Nothobranchius furzeri: one gene and its partners. The protein of the gene in region 1 binds, or shares a complex with, the protein of each later gene. Links are inferred from orthologs where the notes say so. Each region holds a gene or a part of one and is shown in the gene's direction. Other genes may lie near its edges.

Region 1 (4,075 bases):
CAGCACAATCTCCAAGTTTCTCATCGTGCTTACTCCCTTTCTGCTCTTCATCAGTTTTTGGCAACAATCTGATGAACTCTGAGTAAGATAAGGGATGGGAGAAAATAGGTATTAGTAAATCACTCCTCACTTCCCTTTTTCATGAACACTACAACCACACACGTGAAGGAAATAGAGCCTCTCCTGCTTCCATGTGACACTAAACGCCTCCACTTCACAAAGTCATTGTTCTTCTCTTAACATCAGCACAGCCACCAAAACACTGTCACAAAAAGGTTACAAACACCCATCAAAAGGAGCTGAAAAGGATCATCCTTGTATGTAAATCCTAGAGGTCTTGACCTGGATCAAAACAAGCTTCAGTGTTCTCACATGGGTTGAGTAAATCTTTAGTTTAATGATTGTTGTCTCAGGGTAATGGAGCGGTTATTCTAATGTCAAATCGGACATTGTTAGACAAGCAGATGGTATCAAAGGATTCAAGGCCTGCAGCACATAGCTGAATGTTCATTTGCATGATTAGAACATGTGGAAGTGCACACCAAGACAGGCACACATGCAAAACAAACACATTACAACTGCTGTGCATTGTGACCTGTCAAAGTCAAATATTTATTAACAAGAAAGGACAAAAATTATTTCGCTCTTTCCGTTAAAATAAATATAACTTTGAAATGCATACAATATAAACAGAGTGACGTTATTTTACAAGTATTCAATGGCTGACACAACTTATTATTATTATTATTATTATTGTTGTTGTTGTTGTTGTTGTAATTATTATTATAAAGAAAGTTTGGAACATGACTCTTTAAAATAAAAATCAAGTGTAAGATTTTTTTAAGTGAGTCCTGGCCAAAAGGCAAACTAAACCATACAGTGGGGAAATTAGGATTAAAATAAATATTAATACTGTTATTTTCAGGAAGTAGAAATACTAATTTTAACTCACCATTTGAAGAAGGTTTCCATGCATCCATCACTTACAGCCACTCAGAGTTTGATGAATGTAAGCAAATTAAAAAATAATGAAAAACTTTAACAGCAACAATGGTGTACAACACTGCCATCGTGTGGTCAAGATTGCTATGCTACGGTTTATTTCCATTTTTCATCCAAAATGGAAATAAAAATGTGACTGACTGAACTATTTGAAACTAAATTAAAAAATACAAAGTTAGTTTTATCCTAACTCCGTTTATAGATAATATGTATTAATGTATAATTTTGTCAGATAATTCCCTTTACGTACAAAAACGCCACTTCATAACCGGAAGTGATTCGTTGGCGGTTCCGGTTTCAGAAGCGTAAAGATGTCTCTGTCCTCATTTAATTTTGTCGACGCTAAAGAGAAATTTTCGGTGAGAAGTGGCTTCTTTCTGTCATTTCCATCCATAATATATTTGTATGTAAGACAACTTGTTGATAAAACCGTAAAAAATCTTAACTTCACTACTTTATGGTTGTGCTTGTTGTACTAGTGTAGTAGTTAGCCAAAGAAGCTAAGCTAAAGTAAACGCTTCTGAACGGTCCTGTTGTTTACGAGGTTGAAGTTAGCTTCCGATTTGGAAATTGGCTAAAGAGCATTTGCACTCAATTTTATTTACTATGACCATCTTTAATCTGCTCTATTTAAAAAAACTACAATGCCTAGACAGTTCAAACCGGGACTGGAATATTCTAGACTAATAGCAGATTCCATAAAGCATAGTTTGTGATTTGTGAAACCTTTTTCAGATTTGTGAAACTTAAAATAGGCAGATTTTGAAGTTTCACAAATCACAAACTGTTTTATGGAATTTGCTATTAGTCTAGAATAATCCCGTCCAGGTTTGAACTGTCTAGGTATTGTAGTTTTTAAGATGAAGCAGATTAAAGATGGTCACCGTATATAAAAATTGAGAGTGGCCTTGGCCTTAGCCATTTCCCGAATCGGAAGCTTGAAAACGGAAGCAAACTTCTGCATCGTCTTTTGTTTCTCATTATGTCCTTTCCCATGCTCACCCAACCGTAGGCTGCAAGCACACAAGCACTAGCTGGTAAAACCTGCAAACCCCTAATCGCCGTGTTTAACCAACTCCCCGGCAAGTAAGTTGTGCTCCTGGGTCGAGGTTCCAGATCAAAATAATCCAGAAATACAAATTTACTACTTGTGTGTTTTTGTCAGTGAGACGGAAAAGAAGACCACACTGGATCAGGCTTTGAGGAGTGTTCTTGGTGACCAGATTGTAAGTTTAATAAGTTAGTTAATTTAAATTTGAAAATATGTGAGAATCGCTAATGATTGTTTCTCTCTAGCTTGAGCAGAAATCATGCTGTGATGACTATCTGTCTCTAATCTACCAGAGCATCAATGCTGTTACTGAGGGTATGTTATCACTACTGCTGAGGTGGATATTTATTTTAGATTAGATGATTTTGGATTTTAAACATACATGTTGAAAGGATCGCTTTGATATAAGTTTTGGTAAAACGTCTCTTAAAACAAATGACAGTGTAACATTTATTCTGTTTTTAATGCAGGTATCTGTTCTGCTACGACTCCTTTTGTCCTGCTGGGAGACGTTCTGGATTGCCTTCCCCTTGACTTGTGTGACAAAATATTCTCTTTTGTTGAAGAAAATGTCTCTACCTGGAAATCGGTATAATTACAGGCATTTTTTTTTGTAAAGGCAACAAAAATATTTCTCTGTTTTTGTTAGAAGGTTTCATTATTGTACCTGTGTTGTTTCTTTCTTCCAGAGCTCTTTTTACACAGCAGGAAAGAACTATTTGTTGAGAATGTGTAACGGTAAAAATCTTGTCTTTTTCTCTGTCATCCAAAAGACTTTCTATTCTCAGAAAGTTCAGGTGCAAGTGACTTTTGTTTCATCTGTACAGATCTTTTAAGGAGGCTGTCGAAATCCCAGAATACAGTATTCTGTGGGAGAATCCAGCTTTTCCTGGCACGTCTCTTTCCTCTGTCTGAAAAATCCGGTAAGAAAGTCAGTTATTTTTCTAACTTGAAGGGGAAAAAAATCAAAGCACTTTACAATCATATTGTAAACCTCTCAATTAAATAGATTTTGTGTGTGTTTTAATCCAGGTCTCAATCTACAAAGCCAGTTTAATCTGGACAACATAACCGTGTTCAATAAAAATGAACAAGAAAGCACTCTTGGTCAGAAGGTGAAGTATTGTTAGGTTAATTATTAGGTTAATGAGCTCATCCTTTCCATCCTGTTTCATCTGTTTTTTTGCTACTATGTTGACAGCACGCTGATGAAAAGGAAGACGGCATGGAAGTGGAGGAAGGAGAAATGGGGGAGGATGACGCCCCGGCACCGTGGTGAATGAAAACCATTTGCTGTATTTGCTCACATTTTCACCTTCATGAAATAATAGTACCCTTTTGTTCCTTAGTTCTATTCCGATTGACTACAACCTGTACAGAAAGTTCTGGACATTGCAGGACTACTTTAGAAATCCGTTGCAGTGCTATGAAAAAATCTCATGGATTACTTTTGTTAAGGTAATCCACCTCGGTGCAGCAACTCTGACCAATTTGACGGATCACTGTCAATATCCAAGATGAGGATAAAAAAATAAATAAACTTGTGTGTTGCTTTTGCTTTGCTCAGTACTCCGATGAGACTCTTGCTGTGTTCAAAAGCTACAAACTGGATGACATGCAGGCGTCAAAGAGGAAGTTGGAGGAGCTGCGAGCGTCTGATGGTGAACAGGTTTACTTTGCCAAGTTTCTCACGAGCGAAAAGGTGCAGAAAAATCATTAAAAATCTTTTAATCATGTATAAATAAGCAGTTTTTAACTGACTATGGCTGTAAGTCATATGTTTTTCTGTCTTAAAAGTTAAACTTCATTGTTTTGGGATTTTTTTTTTTTTTGTAATCTGCAGCTGATGGACTTGCAGCTCAGCGACAGCAACTTCCGGAGACACATACTGGTGCAGTACCTGATCCTGTTCCAGTACTTGAAGGGTCAGGTCAAATTCAAAAGGTGAACATTTGTGCAACTAAACAAATATCACTTGTTGGGATGGAATTAGTTCATGTTTATGCTTTTTGATTTCTTGAC
Region 2 (3,668 bases), about 26 Mb from region 1:
GTGGGCTCGACTCCGTACGGACTTGCGTGCCTGCCGGATCCCTACGCAAGGACGGATAATGGCGTTGCGTGTCTCCGCACTGACGCAGACGGAGAAGCATAAATCAGGCTTAAAGCTGTGTTCAGTAGGGAAAAGGGCACAAGTTAGCAAAGGTCTGATGGGTTCTCAAGTCAGAAAGATTCTGTTCTGGTTTTATCAGTGAATTATCATTGAAACCAAACCCAAGCCTGACAGAAGATGCATTTGCTGTTTGGGAAGTACAGTCCTGATCAAAAGTTTAAGACCATTTGAAAATGGCCAAACGTCGTGTTTGTTTGGTTGGTCATTAACAAGGTCCCAAGTAGAGCTTCAATGTGCAACAAAAAAGAAATGGGAGTGAGACAACGATCAAATCGAAACGAGCTGCTTTATAGCTGATAAAAGGTTTAAAGAACAAGTTCACTGAGAAACCATTTTTATGTGTTATTTTTTTAAATGATTGGTCACTCTGAGTTTCACATGCAGGCTGAATATGTGAATAGTCTTCTACCCCTTTTTCCTGCATTAGCCGATAGAAAACAGACGAGGAAATTCTCAGGTTAGCAAAGCCAGTCAGATCTACCTCACAGTAAGTTAACATTCATGGACTCGGCCATCTTGGCTCAAGATGGGGAAGGCAGTTGTTGGTTTAGCATTCAGGAGAGACTAGAGCTTGCCTTGGCTAATAGAAGCTAACTGTTAGCATTAGCTGCTACTCTATACAGTAGAACTCATTCATTTATGGAGGTAAAACATCAATGATGCAAATCAAACAAGGTTAGTGGTAGAGTTGTGTTGCTGTTAGCCAATCAGGGGTGAGATGTCCAAATAGTCTTGTTGTACCCTTAAGCCGGGCGGACACTGTGCGACTTTTTCACTCGTAGCACTCAGCTTCAGCTCAAACTGTACGACTTCCTCACAGAGCAGATCTCACGAGTCGTGCGCTCACACTGCACGACCCAGTTCTCGGATGCGATCTGACTGCTCACGCTGTACGTCTGGTAGCAACACGTCGGCCCTAAAAATGTGCTAAAAATAGCAGTTTTTACACAACACGTCAGACTTTTTTGTCTTGTTTTGCCTGTTGTCCTTCGGGAGTGCTGCAGGGGGACACACAGGGATTTATGGGGGTTGGATGAGGAAAACAAAATAAAGAAAGTAAATCTGTGTTTTGTGATCAGTTTAATTTGACATGAACACGACAAACACGCTTTCTTGACAACCTTTGTGAGTAAAAAAAGTGTAGAAAATAAAAACGAACAACGTGTGTTATTAGGGAAATAGCGGGCGAGCGGTGTTGATGCATGCATGTGCCGTGAGCGGTTCTGGTACTTTTTGGGTCGCAGCTGCTCGCAGCGCCGCTTCAACAGTGCGATACCCTCACGAGGGACGAGCAAAATATTAAACACGCCAGAAGTCTGTGCGAGCTCACGATTGCTGATCGGTAGCTGGTCACGTGGTGTTAATCGCCTCTCGTAGCCCCCTGTACACGACGCTCAGCGCAAAACTCGCCCCGATCTCGTGGATTCTCGCACGAGTGGAAAATCGGCTCAAAAAAGTGAAAAAGTCGCACAGTGTACACCCGGCTTAACCTGAGCTTTCCACTGGATGCATAAGTGACGCGGTTCCTCACGAGCTCAGCGGTGCATATCGTCTCACCGGGAGATTTTCTGACATGAAGCGGCAGTGAATGTGTCACAGCTGGACCCACAACGTTACAAAATCACAGGAAAACGCTAGATCAAGCATGATTTCAGCGGTTCACGTGATAACAAGCATGGAGAAAGATGGTAACGGTATCCTAGCAGGTCTGTGGTGTACTTACTGTTTACCTCAGTCACAGAGGTTTTACAGGTAAATATAATAGAAGCTAAGTGCTACGTACTACGCTTTGTGGACATTTTGTGACGCTCGCGCGTCTGATGGAAAGCTGGGATAACAAGCTGGACCTACTCTTGCTTCGCTTTATTTGTGTTCCTGATTTGTTGCTGTGACCGATCCTTCTGAACCACCAGAGCCTAAAGCAACGTCTGGGGAAAGGCAACATCCAGGCCCGGCTGGGCCGGCCCATTGGGCCTCTGATGCGGGGTGGACCTCCTGGAGGAAGAGGAGGCATGCGGGGGATGACCAGAGGAGGCCTCAGAGGGGGTTTGAGAGGAGGGATCATTCGTGGGGGTCTGTCTTCTCTGAGGGGTAGGTGTCCGTCAGCGTGGAGATGGTAGGGGTGTTTCCTCTCAGCTGAGCAATCACATTGTGTTAAACAGCCAGGCGAATGCCTACAGGTGGACCTATGAGAGGTCGGGGGGGCATCGGACGCTTCCCCATGCGTAGAGGAGGTCGGCATCGTGGAGGAGTGGCAGGAAGAGGAGGAGTTCTGTCTCGAGGAGGAGGTCGAGGTGGAATGCCCAGAGGCCGGGGTAGAGTTTGTATTTATTAGTACAATCGTTTGATGACTCGTGTCTTTTTTTTTTTCACTGTCTCACTGATGATGTTCTGTCTTCAGGCCGTGGTGGACTTCGTGGACGTGGGGGATTTGCTGGTCGTGGGGGCCGCGGCCGTGGGCGGGGCAGAGGACTTGGCCGGCCCACCGTTACAAGGGAACAACTGGACAATCAGTTGGATGCGTACATGTCAAAGACCAAGGGACACTTGGATGCAGAACTGGATGCCTACATGGCCCAGGCAGATCCCGACAGCATGGAGTGACGGCCCAGCGAGACCAGAGCTGAAGACTGGGGCGTAGCGTCAAGTGGTGTTGCTGCACCCTGTTGTTTAGCCGTGCATCCACCTGCTGCTGAAGAGCCAATCAGCTGATGAATAAACTCAAGGGGACTTTGACCCTGATGTCCACGGACTTCCTGTATGAAGTTTTAGTCAAACAGGTGTTTGGTGTAAACTGTTTAGTTTTTCTTAGTTTTTCCTCAAACCTCCAGAGTTTCTTTGGCTCATCTTAAACTTGCAGTGGAAACGTTTTTTAAAATGATAATTTTACAAGAATTTTAAGACGAGTCATTTTCTCTTATATTTGACAGGGAAAGAAGTGCTCAGGCTTTGGGTTGTTTGTATTCCGTGAAGCTGACAAGATGTTTGTTTTAAAATTATTTCCCAAGTTGTGTTAAGGAAATAAAATGATGAATGAGATATTTTCTGATTCATGTCAAACATTTAAGGCCTGTAGGTGTTCTGGAGCATGTAGAAAAGCAGATGTCCTGGTGTGATCTTAGCTTTTGTTCTGCGATTGGTGCCCACAGGGACATGGTTTCCATGGCTGTGTCTCACTGGGAAAACGTCACCAGTTAGAAGGTTGGACGTTCAAACCTAAGACCTACAAACTTCTCTATACTACATCCTGTGAACCATGTGTGTGTGCGCACATACCTAAAGGATTATTAGGAACACCTGTTTAACTTAATGCAATTATCTAATCAACCAATCCCATGGCAGTTGCTTCAGTGCATTTAGGGGTGTGGTCCTGGTCAAGATAATCTCCTGAACTCTTAACTGAAGGTCAGAATAGGAAAGAAAAGTGGTTTAAGCAATTCTGAGCGTGGCATGGTTTTTGGTGCCAGACGGGTCGGTCTGAGTATTTCACAATCTGCTCAGTTACTGGGATTTTCACCCACAACCATTTCTAGGGTTTACAAAGAATG
Region 3 (3,741 bases), on another chromosome or scaffold:
CAGTTCTCACTGTCATTGCCCATGTGAGCGTTAAAGTCCCCCAGCAGAATGAGGGAGTCACTGCAAAGAGCGCTTTCTAGCACCCTCTCCAAGGTCTCCAAAAAGGGTGGGTAGTCTGAACTGTAGTTTGGTGCATAAGCACAGACCACAGTCGGAACCCGTCCCCCCACACATAGGCGGAGGGAGGCTACCCTCTCATTCACTGGGGAAAACTCCAAAGTACAGGCACCAAGATGGGGGGCAACTAGTATGCGCACCCCTGCTCGGCGCCTCTCAGTGGGAGCAACTCCAGAGTGGTAGAAAGTCCAACCCCTCTCAAGGAAACTGGTTCCAGAGCCAGAGCCATGCGTTGAGGTGAGTCGAATATATCTAGTTGGAACCTCTCAACCTCACACACGAACTCAGGCTCCTTCCCCACCAGAGAGGTGACATTCCATGTGCCAAGAGCCAGCTTCTGTAGCCGAGGATCAGACCGTCAAGGTCCCCGCCCTCAACTACCACCCATCACACACTGCACCCGACCCCTTTGGCCCCTCCCACGAGTGGTGAGCCCATGGGAAGGGGGACCCACGTTTCCTCTTCGGGCTGTGCCCGGCCGGGCTCAGTGGGTGAAAGCCCAGCCACCAGGCACTCACCAATGTGCCCTACCTCCAGGCCTGGCTCCAGAGGGGGACCCCGGTGACCCACGTCCGGGTGAGGCAACACGTTTTCCATTTATATAATTCATCATACGAGGTCTTCGGGCTGCTCTTTGTCTGATCCCTCACCTAGGACCTGTTTGCCGTGGGTGACCCTACCAGAGGCAGAAAGCCTCAGACAACTTAGCTCCTAGGATCATTGAGGCACTCAAACCCCTCCACCACGCTAAGGTGGCAGCCCAGGGAGAGGCTATTTTCTAATCCTAATCTAATCCTATTTGATATGTGCCATATATTTCACATATATGTCTGTGAATTTTAAAGACACGTTTTGATGTCAAGAAAGTGCTTATTTTTGAACAGCTGCAAAAGTTTAGGGTTTTGTGTTAAAAGATGTGTACAATGCCTGTCCAGTATGGGAAGCTGGTGACTGGATGCTGAACCATCTTGCTAGACCAGCATTGTATGCTGATCTACCACTAAACCAGCACCAAACACAACATATGCTGTTTTTATGAGCAGGGCTTTGCTCATACATAATTGAGGCGTTTTTTTACACAGCAAAAAGTGATTACAGCATTCATTTTGCCTTTGAAAAATGTATTCTACCGTAATTCAATTTCATCACTTGATTGTGTAATTTGTAATTGATTGTGTGATAAAAAAACCTAGTGGTATTACTAAATTGCATTTAAACTAAATCTCTGTGTCACATAATCACTGTAATCACTGTATACTTAAAATCCACATTATTTAACGAAGATGAAGCGAAAAGATCACAACATGCAGTAACGTCCTCTTACCAGATAAGGCAGTAACGAGCTCAGCTGTGTCTGAGTTGCCTAAAGACAAAAGATCAATCAGTACCAGTAGAACGGAAGTAGTAGAAGAAGAAAAACAGCAACATGGGAGCTGTAACTGATGGTTTGTGGCTTTATCATTAACTAATTTCAGCACTTAAGTTACTCTTTACTTTTGTTTTCGTCTAAGTTTAAAACATTGTAAATTGCGCCTTATTATCTGGAAAAATACCCAGAAATGCTACCTGTAATAGCGACGTTAGCTAGCACACTTAGCATAGATGCATTATGTTTTCAACGCTCTTCAGCTGCTTTATTGCATGTTCCACAGATGAGGTGATTCGAAAACGTCTTCTCATTGACGGTGACGGAGCTGGAGATGACCGCCGAATCAATCTGCTGCTGAAGAGCTTCACCAAGTGGTGCAACTCACCTTCTGGGACCCTAGAAGAAGGGTACGAGCTAGCAATATATCTGTCTCCAGTTTTTGCTTGTAACATCTTGAATGCCGAGTACACAACTGCAGTGAAATGCTGAACATTGGGCTCTTTGTGTGTAGATTCACTCAGTACCAGAGGATGGTGGCTACTCTGGCTCAGTGTGAGTTTTCTATGGGAAAGACGTTGATGGTTTATGACATGAATCTTCGTGAAATGGAGAATTATGAGAAGATCTACGCAAACATAGGTAAGATCGGCTTTGTTTTCAATGTCACAGAATTTTTTGTTAATTCTTTTAGTCATACATGCCAAATGGCCTGTATTTTATAGAGCTTTCTAGTCCTGGAACCCCCCACGGCGTTTTACAACACAACACAATCAGACATTTACACACACATTCACACACTGGTGGTGATGAGCTACATCGTAGCTACAACTGAGCGGGGCTCGAACCTGCACCCTTCTGATTATGGGGCGAGCACTTAACTCCTGTGCCACCATCGCCCAATTAACACTAATCAAACTTTTTTCTTTCGCACCTCGCAGAACAAAACATCACATCTGCACATGAGAAGATCACAGAATGCAAAAAAGAAATTCTGCGTGCCAAGAGAATACGAAAAAATCGCCAGGGTAAGGACATTTTAACATCTGTTGTATTTACAGAAAAATTACCAGATGTGGTATCAAATGTGCGTTGTCAAAAGGATGTAAACTTTTTTTTAAGTATCTGTTCTCTGTCTCTCCAAAGAATATGATGCTTTAGCAAAGGTAATCCAGCAACACCCAGACAGACATGAAACACTCCAGTAAGTCAGCCTATCGATAAAACATGTCAAGCTCCCCTTCATGTTCAATAAAGTGCTCATTTTTGTTTTACCTTCCAGGCAGTTGGAGGCACTCGATAAAGAACTCCAGCAACTGTCTCACATCAAAGAGAACGTAGATGCAAAGGTAAACTCAAACACAGCGGCCTAATGTTGTTAAAGTATCAGATTTAGTTGTATTTTTACTGACTTTTTATGCCATGTTTGCATTCTCTTTAGTTGGAGTTGAGGAAGAAGCAGTTTCATGTTCTTCTTACTACCATTCAGGAGCTGCAGCAGACACTAGAAAGTAAGTAGCCACTTGGTTATACAGACAAACTGTTGTCAGAGCTGCCCTCATCGTCTATCCTGTCTTTCCTAGATGATGAAAAGTCAGATAGTGACGACCACAGTCAGGAGAGTCCCATGGAGAATGGGGATTGAACACATAAAGAGCCCAACTGAAGGAGTCACAGCTTTTAATTGAAATTTAGTTTGTCTAAGAATCCTTTTTTGTATGTATTTTTGAATAAAGCTGTCATCTTGGAGTATATCTTTAATTCTTATATTCTCTTTTCATTAAAATAATCTCAGTAAAAATGTAACCAAAGCTTCCAGGCTTTTAAGAAAATCAACTGAAACTCTGATCAGAAAAGAAATTTAATACGCGTCAGTCAAGGACAGAACAGTTGTTGAACATTCATATGTGCTGTATTTTCTCTGGAAGTTTCTGCACTATAAGTGAGAGTTTGAATACTTGTAAAATCTAAGTGTCATTAAACCCAATTATCATTTTTTTCATACTAAATTATCATTTTTTCATACCAAACTATCAAATAGTTTCTGATTTAAAGTTCACAAAATTACATTCTTCTGAGAATAAGACGTCTGTAACAAGAATTATGGTTTTGCTCATTTATTTAAAAATGAATGCCAAAATTTACTGATGTAGTAAATAAACCACAATGAAAGAAAGCCTCTGACTTCCTATGTGAATGATCACTATGTACTTTGTTGCAAACCCCTGTAAATTGTTTTAACCGAACCATAAAGTCTA
Region 4 (4,080 bases), on another chromosome or scaffold:
CTGCTAAGTCTGAAAAGAGTAGCAGAACTGTTTTATGTATTAAGAGGATTTCAGTATAATTTGTACAAGTCTGTAAATTTGAAACACTGTCAAACTGTGAATAAACACTTATGTTACTTATGTTGTTAGACTGATTGATTTCAAAGTAGAAAATTATATATTTAGGTCCTGTAATTTTTAGTTTGATGCAAGTTTGTTCTAGATGGGTATCAAATGGTGCTGCATATGTAACTATTAGAAATTAACTTCTGATTGTACGTGATGCAAAAAAACTTACAGATGTTCCACTTAAGAATTAAGTTTATTGCCACAATACAAGGTAACAATCAAAAGAGTGAAAAATATGAACAAAGATCTATGCAAATAGATTGCTCTTATAGGACTGAAACACTGTGCATCGTGTCAATATGATAGATCTATAACTGCTTTATGAATACATTTGCATTAAATGGAGAATTACACTTACAAAGAAAATAACTAATATGGAAAAATGTCTGCAAATTTATAATATTACATTTACATTTTTGAAATGACTATTTGTGGAATTTCTTAAAGTTACAGTAGCTTTTAGGACAGTAGGTCGCGCTGTGTCCTCCGTTAGCGCTAAATGCAGTGCTTTTTGACTCTTGGGCTCTAGATATGAGACCCAGAGTGGCGCCGCCATATTGGATGGGCCTCCACTTTTTTAAATATTATCATTAAATTCTTATTAAAATTTCTCGTGAGACAACAACACATAATAGAAACATACAAGGCATCTTTAGTAACAATAAAAGAAAAACAAATAAACTTAAAAAGAGGTACTTATATCACAAAGTAAAAACATTGTTACAAGATTAAACATTTTTCGGCAGCATGACAAATGGCTTTTGCAGTTGCATTTGAATTTTTTATACGAGTCAAAGTGGATAAGAACATATGGAATTCATTTGTGAAACAGTTCTTGTTGCCTCCTCACTCTAAAGTCAATCCAGAGTTATCAACTATGCCCGGCAAAAACATCACGTGGATTTACTAGTGCCTTTTCTAGCCTACCTGATAATATTTTTTATTTTATTTTTATTTATTTCGTTTAATTATATTTATATTTTAATTATGCCATACATTGTGTCTGATTTGGTTAAAAAGCTTGATATAATGTGTTTTTAGTTGGGTAAGCAGCAACTTCATCAGTAGATGTAAATGCACCGCAGGCGAATGGAGACCCATCTAAGATGGCAACCGGGCGCTACGGCAGCTGAAATAGGCAGCGCCTGTCCTTGGAGCGTCTACGATTACGTATGTCTGTGTGTTGGGCTTCCGTCCTAAATCGACAATTTGTATGTAGAGGGAGTTCTCGTTTTTACGTGTACTATTCTATCAAGTAAAGACGTAAGTTTGGACCAAGTGAGTATTTGTCGGAAAACATACTATTTATAACCACAATGAGCGCATAATATCCGTCAAAATATTAGTTCTATTAGTTTAGTATACCGATGTTAGCTACAAGCTAACGGTTATTAGCCCGTGTTAGCTTGCATGCTAACCGTATGTCATTGTTACTAAAGTGATGTTTTCATCGGTGTTTTTTTATCGGTCTAAAACTCTTTATTTTCACATTCTAATAGCCATGTCTTCCGACGTTCTTAAGAAGCGGAAATCGAAGGTTCTCCGCAGTGAAGCAGGAACCCCGGAGGTGAAGCGGGGACGTGGAGAGGCGGACCAGCAGGTAGACAGAATCACTCAGAACTTTGTAAATAAGTGGTGTCCAATCATGGACATGTAGGCCCACTGTCCAGCATCTTTGTTTCAGCAGCATCTAGTTTGAATGAATGGATAGTTAGCATGCCTCTGTAAACTTGAAAACACGAATCTGTTAAACAGCAGTGGATTTGAGCAGGGAGATAACTAAAACATGCAGAATCGTGGCTCTCAGTGACCAGTATTGGACTTCATTGCTGCGATGAATTTACTAATTGAAGCTTTAATTGTACTTACTGTTGAGTTTACAAATATACAGAACATTGGCAGTTAAAAATGTCAGAGTTTGCACATTTTATTTTATGTGATGATCAATCAAACAGGGACATTTTCTGCCTCTCAGTTCACGTCCTACAGGTTCCTTAAAGTCAAAGTTATAGTTTTTATAGGTGTTTGAATATTGAATTGCGGTTAATTCATCCACATAGTATTACACAAGGTTAAATCTGTTTTTGTGGTAACAATTGAACATCTCATGTTGAACAAGTTCACAGGAATATTCACAGCACATTATGTTTTTAAACACTAGGTTGCATGTTAGCAACCCAAAAACAATAGTGAGGTAGGTGTGTAATAACTTTAGAATACTATGAAGTAGTATATTATTGATGGTTTTATTATTGCATGCTTGTTTCTTTTCCCAGGATGTTCGTGTCTATAATGAGGAGGTGGAATTGGATGGCAGGAACCCTGAACAGGACTTTGATCAATACAAAGAGTCATGTGAGGCTTTATCCAAACTCATGAGTGAGATCCAGAGGATGAAAGCCTCTGGTGCCAAGGAAGGGGTAAGAGCCATAATCTCTACAATACATCACAGCAGTATACAACTTTCCTTTAGTTTCTTTTTCAAACGTTTCCTTTTCTGCTGGAAAATCTCTACTAAACATCTGTTCCAGATGTTTCTTTTATTGACTTTTTCACATGCCATATCAAAGCTGTAAGATCTGAAGTTAAGTGTATGGGTATGAAAGTAAATATCCATATATATATATACATAAATGTTTCTTTTTAAGAGTATGGATGTCGAGCAGAAACGTATGCAAAGCTGCATCCTCTTCATGAATCTTAAGAAGCTCAACCGTCTAGCTCACATGCGACTGAAAAGAGGCAGAGACCAAACACATGAGGTAATTTTCACAAGTCTACTTTTGAACTGTGGAAAAAAACTGTTATAATTTAAAATGTTTTGTTTACTTTCTGGAAAGTGTTTGTTTGTTTTGTGCTGATTGCAGGAGGAATGTTTAACAAGAGGCACCTTTTTCATTTTAACATTCAACCACAGTGAAGGCTACAGTCAATGTGCAATACCAGTTTAGTTTTTGTGTTCTTTGTTAAGCTTTGAGTGTTTTACTTCAAATTTGATTTACATTCATTAATATGATCAAATGCTGAGTTTTGACAAGCATGCATTTATTATTTTTTAAAGGGTTATTTTTTTTGTTACTTTACAAATTTCATTGGTGATTACTTTTTCTGTTTCCAGGCTAAACAGAGAGTTGATGTGCTCCACCTTCAGCTGCAAAATCTGCTCTATGAGGTTATGCATCTTCAGAAGGAGATCAGCAAATGTCTGGAGTTCAAGTTAGTACTAAATTCTTTACTTGACTTCAGCCTTTAGTTTTTTCAACACTTTTTATTTATAATTTAAGATGAAATAATCAGTTTTATTAAAAGTGTTTAAGGATGTAACAACATATCTCTATAAGAAACCACTAAACAATTTGTTTCTTTTTAATTTAACATTCTCAGCACTACTTGAAAAGTATCCTGTCATGTCTAATTAAATTCTCCGTCTCTTAACAAGATCTAAGCATGAAGAAATTGACTTGGTGAGTGAAGAAGAGTTTTACCAGGATGCCCCGCCGGAGATCTCCAGGCCTTCTCTCACAAAAACCGATCCCCACCAGCTCACACTAGCACGGCTGGACTGGGAGCTCGAACAGAGAAAGAGGTACAGAACTTTACCACGAAATAGTACACATTTGTACTATTGTGGTTACTTTTTGCTGTTCGGTGTAGTCTTTGTCTGGCAGAGAGCAGCTGATTAAAGTATTTTTTGTTGGAAACAGGCTAGCTGAGAAATACAAGGACTCACAGGCCACAAAGGAGAAAATTCAGAAGAGCATTGAAGTGAAGAAAGAGCATCTAAGAAGCTTGCAGCCAGGACTGAATGCTATCATGCAGGTAAAAATAACAAAAACAGATTTTTAATGAAAATTTTACGCTTCCAAGTGAAACATGTCCGCTTTAAGATAGTAGGAGGTTGCATATGATTGCATACAATATTTTATAAATGTAATTATATGTTTCTACTTGGTCATCTTTTATCACTGTGTT
Region 5 (4,108 bases), on another chromosome or scaffold:
GACATGTCTGACAATGTCAAGTAGGCTCAATGATCTCAAAAGCAAATGGTTGATTGCAGTTATTACAAATAGGCATGCAGTGCCAGGTTTTGGCTGCTTTTTCCCTTGAAAGATCAAATAATTGTTTATCTGAAGTGTTTTGCAAAATTTTCATATTTTAAAATTTTCTTGAGCCAGTGTGTGCTAAAACAACCCTGTACAGGGTTAATGAAATGTCACTCAGACCCCGACCACCCTCTATGGCCAGAATGTCGCACTTGCAACTTCAGAGTTGGACTTGTGGAGCTGACATGCCTGGTGCTGCAGTCTGCTTCCTGCATGTTTTAGATCATAAACACTGCTGGTTTGGTCAATTTAGTGATGAGCTGCTCCTGTAGAAATTAAGGAAGGATGGGGAGACATTATTATGGATTAAGGTGTTTAAAAAGGTGAATGCACAGTTTCACTTTTGGTTTTACTAACAGAACACTAGGGGCTGCTAAAAGCAACCCAAAACTGGTTAGTTGTGCAAAAAAAAAAAAAAAAAAAAGCAAAAGTTTAGAAATCTAAGGGGTCAGTAGCCATCACCAGTTCTGTGTAACTGCTTAAAGAGCAAGTCACCCCCTACCAGAGTATTACTCCGCTCCCACTTCCTGTTTGAAAAATGCAACAAATTCTGTTGCCTAGCAGACCAAGAGGGCGGGCCCGCTAACAAATACACACACACACAACGACATTGTGACATCATATGCTACCAGCTAACGTTCTAGGGTACCCCTTTGCCAATAACGATGGCAGATTTAAATTCAAATGCAGTGCAGAGTTTTTACCTGACAACGGCACAACACTCACAGTTTTAGGCAGAAAATTTAAATTTTAACTTAAATGCACAAAAGTGCAAAACTACACGTGTCTGCAGCACGGTTAGATACGCATTTATATAGTTTATCAGAAAAAAGTTGATCTGGGAGTGTCTTGCTCTTTAAACACTTAACTATATTATTTTAAAATCCTTGACTTTGTGAAAGTTTCTTTTAAGAATTGATGATTGATGTGGTTTAGTTTTTCCCGGTTATTTCTTCAGTTTACAGTTTTAGTTTCGATCAAATGTTATATGTCATATTTGTCAAAAAAATATTTATTTATTTGTTCTGTATTTTACCACATCTGTGTAGAACTTTTGCACAATTCGCACATTTTCCTGTCAAGGTTTCTTTTAGATACATGCTCCGCCCGGTTCCGCCTCATCGTCGACAGTAGAGGGGATCACGTTCACGTACTCACGTCAGGCTTACGTAGAGAACGTCGTGTTCTACTACTTGTGTTTAGCAGCTGCTACAAGAATCAGACACCGTTGAGCCTTGAAAGGGACAGGGAGAGGGACCGACCGTGTCTAGGGTGTAACATTCTTAATTTGTTCAAAGTTTAGCGTTATTGGGGCAGCAAAATGACCGATAAGATGGATATGTCTTTAGACGACATTATCAAACAGAGCAGGCAGCAGAGAGGTGGAGGCCGGGGAGGAAGAGGCCGTGGCCGCGGAGGCACAGGCAGCGGCCGGGGTGGAGGCGCTGGGCGACTCGGAGGCGGCGGCGGAGGCTTTGGAGGCCGAGGCGGTGGATCCGGCCCCATGAGGAATCGACAGAACCTGAGTCGCGCTAGAGGCAGACCTACGCCTTACAGCAGGGTATGAGAATGTTAGAGGAATAAGCAGAGAAATGTTTTCATATTGTGTCCCTTCTCCCGCAACCCAAATGTGTAACGCACGTCGAGCTTCAACAGCCTACGGAAGGAGTGGAGGCCCTCAGCGCCATTTTGAATCCAGCCCCGCATTGTGAAGCTAGTCGTCAGTGAGTGCTCAGTGAGAGGTATCCTGGCCACGGTGGTGAAAGAAACCCACTTCGTCAAGAGTATCACTCGAAAGTGTGTTTTCACTGCTTGTCGGAGCGGGATATGTGCTCAAGTTCCCGCCAGCGCAGCGACCAGGCGGCCTTTTGTTCGGGGAGTGGGTTCTCAAGCCCTCTGGTGGCTTTTTCTACCAGTTTGCCTGTTACTTGTGGATGGAAAAGCGGACTTTTACTCCTCTGTTAGTGCCCAAACAAAACCGGTTCTTCGTCTTTTAAAGTGTGATCGAGTTGGTAGCGAAGCCAAACAAAGCCCCAGTCAAAATGGCGTGGTTTCAAAATGGACGCTCACGCAGAGGGGAGATCTGGCCATTTTCACTCCTCATCCAGCACACGGACTCTTCCCCTACTGAGAACTGTTCTGAGGTCCAGGACACAAAGTACCAGCGCTGGAGACGCCGCTGCATCGAACAGGAGTCCCCGAGTGTCCCGAGGAGCTGGCTTTTCTGGAGGGAGGCGCAGATGGCGAGAACAATGGGCATCTCTGGTAGCTAGTCTGAGGAGTTTTACAGGTTTAGCATCAAGTCTGTGGGTTTGGGTTTAAGAAATATCTGTGATGGTAATACTTAGGTTTCTGGAAAGGCTCGTTAGTCTATTCTAGGGTTTATTTCACTAGAAACCCAGAACAGGACTGTTGAGTTTTGTTTTTATGGTTTTGTTTTTAATCCATTTACTACATCAAACTTGGATCTAAAGAATACATTTTTATTTTAAGTGGGCTTTAATGGGACCATTTTTCTTTAGACAGTTGATTAGAGTGATTGAAACAAGTGGCTCCCAGATCTTTTAACTTCTGATTTACAAGATCTGTGATTAAAAACCTTCATTATTCATGACGGACACGTACAAATAGCCAATAAGACAATTACATTAGGACAGGAAGATGACTCCATCCACTTTCACCAAGACTAAACGCTTGTCAGTTGGTCTGTTTAGATGTTTTCTCTTCATATATGTCAATTATTTTTAAATTTGATAATCTCAACATTGGTGTCCTGTCCTAACTTTGGGAACCAGTGAGTTTGAACTAGGGATGCACCGATACGATACTGGTATCGGCACCGATACCAATACCAGTATCGGTGAAAGTTAACCAATACCAGGAACCGATACCAATGCAGTTGCTTGAAAATGGCTTCACTGTAACTTGTCATTTCTGTTCACCTAATATTTTAGTTTTGTGATGATTTCCATTCATATATTTTACTTTTTATCTACCTCACAGTCTTTTCCTGTTGAAAGCAGAGAAGAAAGTAAAATCTGCATTCCAAATCATTGCATTTTTTTTTTTTTTGTGTGGTAGAAGTATCTGTATTGGTATCGGCGAGTACTAAGATCGGTTTGGAAAAAAGTGGTATCGTTGCATCCCTAGTTTGAGCATGTTTTTACTAACTTAAATCAGTATGGACTTTATTGTGATGTTTGTACACATTCCGATTTAAGATGGCCCAACATTGGTGTGTTAACGTTTAAAAAAGTTCAAAATTTGAATCGAAGCGAGACTACTACAAATCCCCTTGCTTTTGAGTATTTGTGTGCACGTCCCTTTGAGCTGATGCACTTGCTCGTTGTGACGGGGTGGGCAGGGAATACTGGGGACCCCCCCCCCTCTAAAGGGAGCTGAGCACCATGTTGGAAGTGGAGCCCCCTGCTTGCCCCAACAGCCAGCCGTGTGGACTCAGTGATGGGCAGAGGCAAGGGGATCCTGAAGTCAGCAGGTGCGTTCTCTTTCATCTGTTGCAGCCTAAACAGCTCCCAGACAAGTGGCAGCACGACATGTTCGACAACGGCTTCAGTGGCTTCAATGGTGCTGCTGGGGGTGGCGGGGGAGCTGGTGTGGAAACTGGAGGGAAGCTCCTCGTCTCCAATCTCGACTTCGGTGTTTCCGATGCAGACATTCAGGTACTCCAAAATCCGCGCTTCACTGGTTGGTTGTGTTTTATGGCTTGTTGCTGTCTTAGACTAATCTTGGATGTACTTTTTCAAGGAACTTTTTGCGGAATTCGGAACTCTGAAGAAAGCTGCAGTTCATTACGACCGGTCGGGAAGAAGCTTAGGAACAGCAGATGTCCACTTTGAAAGGAGAGCTGACGCTCTAAAGGCCATGAAACAGTACAACGGCATCCCACTGGATGGTACGCTTCAGACCTTGTTTACATTTTTCTGGTTTGACATGACTAAATAATTCAAACTTTCTTGAGTGTTCAACCCCCTTTGAGCTGATT

What was found.
Region 2: thoc1 (region 1) and chtopa share a complex: the UniProt entries of both Homo sapiens proteins name them as parts of the transcription/export (TREX) complex. The link is inferred for Nothobranchius furzeri from reciprocal best matches to the Homo sapiens genes THOC1 and CHTOP.
Region 3: the proteins of thoc1 (region 1) and thoc7 are in contact, whole or in part, in a cryo-EM structure (PDB 7APK), measured with the Homo sapiens proteins. The link is inferred for Nothobranchius furzeri from reciprocal best matches to the Homo sapiens genes THOC1 and THOC7. Residues at the interface, in NP_005122.2 of Homo sapiens: Leu10, Arg14, Glu46, Gln53, Arg56, Glu60, Ile63, Ile64, Asp99, Asp102, Cys103, Leu104, Pro105, Arg146, Gln151; in NP_079351.2 of Homo sapiens: Tyr47, Gln51, Leu54, Ser55, Ser58, Gln59, Phe62, Gly65, Lys66, Leu69, Val70, Met73, Arg76, Glu77, Asn80, Ile84, Ile88.
Region 4: the proteins of thoc1 (region 1) and thoc5 are in contact, whole or in part, in a cryo-EM structure (PDB 7APK), measured with the Homo sapiens proteins. The link is inferred for Nothobranchius furzeri from reciprocal best matches to the Homo sapiens genes THOC1 and THOC5. Residues at the interface, in NP_005122.2 of Homo sapiens: Glu60, Arg145, Arg146, Leu147, Ser148, Ser150, Gln151, Lys285, Met286, Leu289, Val296, Tyr297, Phe298, Leu302, Ser304, Leu307, Leu310, Gln311, Ser313, Asp314; in NP_001002877.1 of Homo sapiens: Tyr52, Arg113, Lys120, Asp124, His127, Leu128, Gln131, Asn132, Leu134, Tyr135, Glu136, Met138, His139, Thr145, Lys146, Glu149.
Region 5: thoc1 (region 1) and alyref share a complex: the UniProt entries of both Homo sapiens proteins name them as parts of the transcription/export (TREX) complex. The link is inferred for Nothobranchius furzeri from reciprocal best matches to the Homo sapiens genes THOC1 and ALYREF.

Annotation. Positions count from the first base shown.
Region 1 is NC_091751.1:49,147,947-49,152,021, reverse strand, and holds the start of thoc1 (THO complex subunit 1), read left to right. Parts: upstream 1-1,264; 5' UTR 1,265-1,313; coding exon 1,314-1,361; intron 1,362-2,014; coding exon 2,015-2,088; intron 2,089-2,167; coding exon 2,168-2,228; intron 2,229-2,298; coding exon 2,299-2,368; intron 2,369-2,523; coding exon 2,524-2,642; intron 2,643-2,742; coding exon 2,743-2,791; intron 2,792-2,880; coding exon 2,881-2,976; intron 2,977-3,085; coding exon 3,086-3,168; intron 3,169-3,254; coding exon 3,255-3,328; intron 3,329-3,402; coding exon 3,403-3,511; intron 3,512-3,620; coding exon 3,621-3,755; intron 3,756-3,896; coding exon 3,897-3,997; intron 3,998-4,075. UniProt on the Homo sapiens protein: Component of the THO subcomplex of the TREX complex which is thought to couple mRNA transcription, processing and nuclear export, and which specifically associates with spliced mRNA and not with unspliced pre-mRNA.
Region 2 is NC_091751.1:23,238,917-23,242,584, reverse strand, and holds the end of chtopa (chromatin target of PRMT1a), read left to right. Parts: intron 1-2,033; coding exon 2,034-2,211; intron 2,212-2,282; coding exon 2,283-2,435; intron 2,436-2,521; coding exon 2,522-2,724; 3' UTR 2,725-3,159; downstream 3,160-3,668. UniProt on the Homo sapiens protein: Plays an important role in the ligand-dependent activation of estrogen receptor target genes. May play a role in the silencing of fetal globin genes.
Region 3 is NC_091743.1:56,272,738-56,276,478, reverse strand, and holds thoc7 (THO complex subunit 7 homolog), read left to right. Parts: upstream 1-1,456; 5' UTR 1,457-1,543; coding exon 1,544-1,562; intron 1,563-1,769; coding exon 1,770-1,893; intron 1,894-1,997; coding exon 1,998-2,125; exon of another isoform or gene 2,126-2,424; coding exon 2,425-2,511; exon of another isoform or gene 2,512-2,629; coding exon 2,630-2,687; exon of another isoform or gene 2,688-2,765; coding exon 2,766-2,832; exon of another isoform or gene 2,833-2,924; coding exon 2,925-2,994; exon of another isoform or gene 2,995-3,066; coding exon 3,067-3,128; 3' UTR 3,129-3,232; downstream 3,233-3,741. UniProt on the Homo sapiens protein: Component of the THO subcomplex of the TREX complex which is thought to couple mRNA transcription, processing and nuclear export, and which specifically associates with spliced mRNA and not with unspliced pre-mRNA.
Region 4 is NC_091757.1:44,994,543-44,998,622, reverse strand, and holds the start of thoc5 (THO complex subunit 5 homolog), read left to right. Parts: upstream 1-1,271; 5' UTR 1,272-1,386; intron 1,387-1,607; 5' UTR 1,608-1,609; coding exon 1,610-1,708; intron 1,709-2,384; coding exon 2,385-2,528; intron 2,529-2,756; coding exon 2,757-2,870; intron 2,871-3,226; coding exon 3,227-3,324; intron 3,325-3,547; coding exon 3,548-3,694; intron 3,695-3,812; coding exon 3,813-3,927; intron 3,928-4,080. UniProt on the Homo sapiens protein: Component of the THO subcomplex of the TREX complex which is thought to couple mRNA transcription, processing and nuclear export, and which specifically associates with spliced mRNA and not with unspliced pre-mRNA.
Region 5 is NC_091752.1:50,607,595-50,611,702, forward strand, and holds the start of alyref (THO complex subunit 4), read left to right. Parts: upstream 1-1,299; 5' UTR 1,300-1,426; coding exon 1,427-1,666; intron 1,667-1,930; exon of another isoform or gene 1,931-2,163; coding exon of another isoform or gene 2,164-2,370; intron 2,371-3,626; coding exon 3,627-3,785; intron 3,786-3,870; coding exon 3,871-4,018; intron 4,019-4,108. UniProt on the Homo sapiens protein: Functions as an mRNA export adapter; component of the transcription/export (TREX) complex which is thought to couple mRNA transcription, processing and nuclear export, and specifically associates with spliced mRNA and not with unspliced pre-mRNA.